2 linked regions of the Callithrix jacchus genome follow. The protein of the gene in region 2 purifies or fractionates together with the protein of the main gene of each other region. This does not show direct contact. Links are inferred from orthologs where the notes say so. Each region holds a gene or a part of one and is shown on either strand. Other genes may lie near its edges.

Region 1 (3,500 bases), on a different chromosome or scaffold from region 2:
TCATGCTGTAATCCCAGCACTTTTGGAGGCTGAGATGGGCGGATCACCTGAGGTCAGAAGTTTAAGACCAGCCTGGCCAATGTGGTGAAACCCCTTCTCTACTAAAAATACAAAAATTAGCCAGGTGTTAGTGGTGCACACCTGTAATCCCAGCTACTTGGGAGGCTGAGGCAGAAGAATCGCTTGAACCCAGGAGGCAGAGGTTGTGGTGAGCTGAGATCCCACCATTGCACTCCAGCCTGGGCAACAAAAGCAAAACTTCATCTCATCTCAAAGAGAGAGAGAGAAAGGAAAATAAAGGAAGGCAGGCAAGTGATACAGTAGCCAAAGGAATAGAGAGCATATAACCTGGTGATACTAGGAGGTCAACAATTAGAAAAGACGTACTTAAAAGAAAAAACAAGGAACTCTTTAACAAGAAGTTGAGCTAGTCATAATCTTTAACTGCCAGAAGTCAGAAGATTAAACTTCCTATAGTGGGAATGTAAATTAGCACAACCACTATGGAAAACAGTTTGGATGTTCCTCAGAAAACTAAAAAATAGAGCTACTACATGATCCATCAATTCCATTGCTGGGTATATACCCAAAAGAAAGGATATCAATGTACCAAAGAGGTATCTGCACTCCCATGTTTGTTGTAGCCCTATTCATAATAGCCAGAATTTGGAAGCTACCTAAGTGTCCACCAACAGATAAATGGATAAAGAAAATGTACTTATAAACAATGGAGTACTATTCAGCCATGAAAAAGATCTTGTCATTTGTAACAACATGGATGGAGCTAGAGATCATTATGTTAAGTGGAATAAGCCAGGCACCAAAAGACAAGCATTGCATGTTCTCACTTATTTGTGGGATCTAAAAATCAAAACAGTTCAACCCATAGAGAGGGGACAGACGGTTACCAGAGGCTGAGAAGGGTAGTGGCAGGGTGTGGGGGATGTGGGGATGGCTAACGGGTACAAAAACTAGTTATAAAGAATGAATAACCTAGCACTTTGGGAGACCAAGGCAGGTGGATTGCTTGAGCTCAGGAGCTCGAGACCAGCCTGGGCAACATGGTAGACCCCTATTTCTACCAAAAATACAAAAAAGTAGCTTGTACACTTGTGGTCCCAGCTACTCAGGAGGCTGAAGTGGGAGGATCACTTGAGCCTGGGAGACGGAGGTTGCAGTGAGCTGAGATCACACCACCACACTTTAACCTGGGCAACAGAGCCAGACCTCATCTCAAAAAAAAGGTTGAATAAGACATAGTATCTGATAGCACAACAGGGGGACTATAGTCAATCATAATTTAATTGTACATTTTAAAATAACTAAAAGCACTTTGAGAAGCCGAGGCAGGCAGATCACTTGAGCCCAGGAGCTTGAGACCAGCCTGGCCAACATGGCAAAACCCTGTCTCTACTAAAACTACAAAAAGAAAAACAAAATTAGCTGGTCATGATGACGCGTACCTATAATCCCAGCTACTCAAGAGGCTGAAGCACGAGAATTGCTTGAACCTGGGAGGCAGAGGTTGCAGTGAGCTGAGACGGCTCCACTGCACTCTAGCCTGGGCAACAGAGCGAGACCCTGTCTCAAAAAAGAGAAGATAATTGAATTGTTTGTAACACAAAGGATAAATGCTTGAGGGAATGGATACTCTATTTTCAGGATGTGATTATTACACATTGCATGCCTGTATCAAAACATCTCATATGCCTTATCAATAAATACATCTACTCTGTACTCACAAAAATTAGTCTTCACAACTGTACAAAAATATAACTTTTTAAAAGTTTCTAGAGCAGTAGTTAGTGCTAGTGTCCGCTGAAGAAGACCTTCTAATGTTCATTACTTTTCACTAAAATGAAAGCCCTTTGACCGGTATGGTATGTCATACTCGAGGATCATCTGGATTTTTTCCCACATAGCTATTTTTGGATTCCATTTGATCTTATAAAATGTACATTTACTTAGTGTTTCCTAATGACTAAATATCCTTTTAAATGTACCAAATGTTGCTCTAGAAGGAAACATTATATTTTGCAGAGAGGATTCTTAATCCTGGTTATATATTAAAATCACCTGAGGAACTTTTTTAAAACATTGAACTGCTTCAGAACTGTGCAATCAAAATCTCTGGGTCTGAGCATCTGAATTTTTTAAGGCTCCCAAGATGATTCTAATGCATAGTAAATGTTGAGAACTATTGATTTAGATAATAAAATTATATATTTGAAATTTATTTTTAAAATTTATCTTCTGTTACAGCAATCGACATGTGGTCTGCAGGTGTCATATTTCTTTCTTTGCTTAGTGGACGATATCCATTTTATAAAGCAAGTGATGATTTAACTGCTTTGGCCCAAATTATGACAATTCGGGGATCCAGAGAAACTATCCAAGCTGCTAAAACTTTTGGTAAGCAGTTTTGTGTTACAGAACAAAACAAATGCCTTTGATTATCTCCTACAAATTGCTTAATAAATTATTATGAAACTCTCTTTACAAATAAACATTCAGTCTTGATAAAGTTCTAATATTAAGTAGAAAATTCTTCAATTGCTTAAAAATAAATTTATCATCACCTCTCCTCTATACATATAATCATTTAATCTTTTTAAACACAAAGTAATACATTATTGCAATATTTAAAGTTTGCCTTTGTAATATTAAAAGAATAAAGAGTAAAATCTTAACTCCTTTTAGTTATGGTTTCACTTTCGTTACATAAATATCTTTAATAATATGTTTTACTTTTTTATTGTATTTTAAGCATCAGATGCACTACGTCTTGGTACCTAGAGTGTCCTTGCCTTAAATGATCATAGGCTATACTAACAAGTAAACAGTTAATTGTTAATATAGTGTAATAAGGACTGGGGAAGAGAATAGAAATGTGTGTTGTCAGGTTGTGTGAATTTAGGGTAGCAGAGAAGCAAAATGCATAGAAGGTGTCAATTGATGGAATATTATTGTAAGCATATATTGGACATGGATGTCAACTCAGCCATGCAAGTTCTTCAAGACTGGGAGATGCAGTGTACTTCATAGGGCATGTGAGAATTATCTCAGCCTTGCTCTGGCCAACAACCTGAACTCAAATGTCCATTTAATGTTTATTTTCCAAGCTCAATTATAGTTAATACTTTCCCAAGGAAAAAGTATGATTGAGTCAGCTTACTGCCACACAATATGGAACACCTCAGGGGACAAAGTTTCAGCCAGCCTACCTCCAGAGTAGCGAGGCTGCCTTGTGCTCAGCCCCAGGATCATTGTGTCTTAACTGGGGTTTGCATGTTAGAATTATCTGCGAATCTTTAAGAAATACATATGCCTGCCCCTCTATCCATTCTTGGAAAATATGATTCAGAAAAGTAAGATACTTACGAAGGCTCCAGTCTTGTTAGTTTGAAAAAAAAAACAAGTGATTTTGACTAAGAAACTACTGGTGTTTTAAGAACCACTGCAAAAATTACTACCCTTGCCTAGGCATCAGTGCTATGGTC
Region 2 (3,500 bases):
GAGTGCCCTGAGGGAACCTGCCCACTGGGGATGAGTCCTTCCTGCTCAATCTCCATGCTGCTGTGGCTGTGTCCTCCAGGGCCAGAGCATGGGCTGGGAGGTCAGCTTGTGTGTCCCCTTCCCTGCAGGCCTCATCTAATGCCCTGTCCTCCTCTCACCCCCTGGCAGCATCTTCAGAGTGCCCAGCACCGGGGCTTTGCCCTAGAAGCCCGTCCATATGCAGAGGTGGACAGGATCATCGCCCAGCTCAGCCACAGTTTTGCAGACATTCCTTTCCAGGCCAGTCTCCCCAGGTGAGTGCCGCACTGGCAGGCACAACTGCATCTGCACTCTCCTCTGTTGCCCTCTAGGTGGGAAGAGACCTCAGGTTGGTGGCTGCTAGGACCAGACTGTGATGTTTTTCTCTTTTCTCACCTTCTTTTCCCCTCATCCTTGGTCCTATTTGTTTTGGGGGTGGCCAAAAATAAAAAGACCTCCATTTGTGGCTTCAGTTGATCAAGATTAGACCTAGACCAGACTGTGGCTCCCTTCCTACAGGCTTTGATGTGGATAATAAGCCGTTCTGGCCAGGGAGCAGGGGGAGTAGTTCCTGGGCCCCTCCCAGATGGGTAAAGAGCAAAGTCTTTCTCCCTCTCTAGAAGTCACGCCCAGAAGGAACCACTGCATGGGGATTGGTGGGAATTCCAGGTCCCTCTGAGCCCAGCTACCCATTTCTGCCAGGAAGGCAGATCCTCTCCTACTTGGGGCAGTGGCTTCACCTCTCATCCCAAATCTCCACCTCAAGCTCAGCTCTCACAGCCAGACACTGCGCTGCTTTCTCTAGTTGCCAAAGGGCACAGCCTCCTCTGTGAAATAATTAAATGGAAGAGCCTCCAACCTGTTCCTCTGGTCGGCCCCAACCACAGGCCACAGAGCCAAGAGAAGTACACACGGTGCTGGCTGCTGCAGCAGGTTCAGACCCAAACAGGAGGGCTTTCACACAAGGCCCCAGAGTAGGCAGCTCTCTCAGCACACAAACTGCCAGCTGTGGCAGCTCTCCCTGTGCCCTCAGCCCTGGGCCACACCTGCTGTGGAGTTGACACCTGCGGCTCACTGGGTGTTTCTGTCCCAACAGGTTGTCAGGTTCCCTGGCTTCTGACTGTGACCCTCTCTTTCCTGAGACTCTGCACCCCTGCCAGCTCTCCCATCCCAGAGCAGCATCTCCCAGGATGAGGAAAGAAGACAGCTGCCAGGCATCAGGCTTCCCAGAGCAGGATGGGACAGTGGACAGCATGCAGGCACCAGCTGAATGTGCAGGGACTGGCAAGATACCCGGACCTATAGCAAGCTGCCAGGACCTGGAGGGGTCAGTTGATGTGTTTGTGGACCACCCAGGGACACTGGTGTCCAGGAGCCCTGCTTGCCAATGCCTCCTGCCTAGCTGTGGTTTTATGGAACTCTCCTCTGGCCCAGACCTGGCACTTGTTGGCCACAAGCGGAAGGTTCAGTTCCCCAGTGGCAGTGCTGAGAAGAGAGCGGGGGCCTCCTGGCCACAGGCTTCATTTTTTGTCCCAAGAGCCCCCAGCCCCTGTGGTACCAGGACAACCAGTGGCAAGCATCTTCCCTCTCTTCCTCTTTCAGGCCATGAGTCTAGGCCCCTTGCCTCCCTCCTGCCCTCATGCCACTCACAGACCTGCCTCTCTCTCCCAGACCCCTTCCCCTGGCAGCTCACAGACAGACCAGCAGAGTTCTGGGCCACACATCCCCCCTGGCCAGGCGGAGAGTGGCCCCCAGGGCCTGAGGATTCTGAATGTGCAGCCCCTGGCCCTGAATCCCAGGAGGCTGGCCAGCTGCCCCATAGCTCCAGGCTGGCCATCAGCCCCGCTGCACTCAGCTACCAGTGAGCAGCCCTCAGAAGCACCTGCAGAGAAGAAGTCTACCTCTATCCCCAAGCCCCAGCTAGCCAGTGCAGGAGCCAGTTGCTCCCGATGCTTCTGGGCCCCCCAGCCTCTCCAGGTGCCCTCCCTCCCTGTCTCCCAACCCCGGCCCCAGCCCCAGCCCCCTACTGTCAGAGAGCTGCTCCTATGAGTCCCCAAGGTGCTTGGCTCTTCACGGGGCGAGGCAGCTCCAGACTGAAGGGCCAAAGACACAACTTATTCTTCTGCTGGGTGCCACACATCCCGCCAGGGCTGATCAGGACACAGGAGGGGCAGAGCCCCAGGACTTCCCCAAAAGAGCCAGAAGGAGGCCTGGGCCTGGCCTTTGAAGTCCAGTAAGCAGCTGTCACATTCAGCTCCATGGAGCTTACGGAGCCAGCCCTCCCACTGGCCAGGTCTTTGGGAGAGAATCTGGGCTGGAGGCAGCCCTCTCCTACTCCCACCTCCACCATGTTCCTAACCAGGCAGAGTCTACAGTGGGCTTACCCAGCCGAGGCCGGCCACCCATGCCAGGAGGCAGAGATGAAGTTGGCATGGGGAGGGACCACAAAGGAGTTGGGGCAGCAGGAGTCCTGGCCCAGCTTCCTGGCCCTCCGCAGGCTGTTGCCTCTGCAGAGCCGAGGGTTAGCTGTTGGTATTCTCCACCCCCAACCCCAGCCTCCTTTTCCACGAGCATGTTGCCTCTCTTGCTTTCCGAAATGCCTGTGTTCATCCCCTCCCCCAGCCCCCCACACTCCTGCACACAGATCCTCAGGAACATATGAAGCAGAGGAGGGGCTCGGGCTGTGCCACTCACAGAGCTCCCTCCCCCAGGCACTTAGTTGGGGCCCAGCACTGACATTTCCCCTGAGCCCAGGATGTGGAACCCCTCTCAGCCCTTCTCTGTCTCCTCAGCTTGAGCTGCCCACCTGGAGTTCGGCTATTCCGGGGCCAGTGTGTCACCTGCCAACTTCCACTCACCCTCCTCCCTCACTCCCTCCTCTCTTTCCCCAAGGACCTCCCCCCATTTCTGGCAGCCAAGCCATTAATCTGGAGACAGAAATGGGTTTGTTATCGATTCTCTGGCCACTTTTTTTTTTTTTTCATTACAATTTGTACTGTGGTTCTTCTCACCCTTCTCTGCATCCATGCATTGTCTCTTTAAATGTTGAAGCTCCCGGAAGCCTGGCGCTATTCTGTGTCTCCTTTCAGAGGAAGAAAGGGGGGCCCAGCTACTGGTGAGGACCCAAGTTCTTAGTTTGGAAATAGAGCAACTAACTGTGTGTACAGCCCACCTTAGAGGTCATGTTACCCCCTTCCTGTTAAGTTTTATAATGAATTTTGGTTCAGGAAATGTAAATAAATTTGTTAATAACAAATAGCAAAGAGATGAGGCTGGAGTGTCATGTGTTGGTCCTTGATCTGCCCTCCAGTGACCCAAGGCAGGGCTGCGGGCCTGCAGGGAATCGTTGGATGGTGGGATGGGGCTTTCTGCAAGCTGTACATGTGTGAGTGCCTCCTGCGTCTCCCCCAAGGGCTCCGGGAGCAGTGCGGCCTCTGTCCCTGCGCAGCCTCCTTTACCCAGTCTCATCCTGTCACCTACTT

The links.
Region 1: the proteins of DBF4B (region 2) and CDC7 purify together in Homo sapiens (affinity purification with mass spectrometry; 3 studies listed by BioGRID and IntAct, counting the BioPlex papers as one, with this or other methods). This does not show direct contact. The link is inferred for Callithrix jacchus from reciprocal best matches to the Homo sapiens genes DBF4B and CDC7.

The regions. Positions count from the first base shown.
Region 1 is NC_133508.1:128,976,205-128,979,704, forward strand, and holds part of CDC7 (cell division cycle 7-related protein kinase), read left to right. Parts: intron 1-2,262; coding exon 2,263-2,412; intron 2,413-3,500. UniProt on the Homo sapiens protein: Kinase involved in initiation of DNA replication. Phosphorylates critical substrates that regulate the G1/S phase transition and initiation of DNA replication, such as MCM proteins and CLASPIN.
Region 2 is NC_133506.1:85,152,312-85,155,811, forward strand, and holds the end of DBF4B (protein DBF4 homolog B), read left to right. Parts: intron 1-168; coding exon 169-293; intron 294-1,114; coding exon 1,115-1,883; 3' UTR 1,884-3,281; downstream 3,282-3,500. UniProt on the Homo sapiens protein: Regulatory subunit for CDC7 which activates its kinase activity thereby playing a central role in DNA replication and cell proliferation. Required for progression of S and M phases.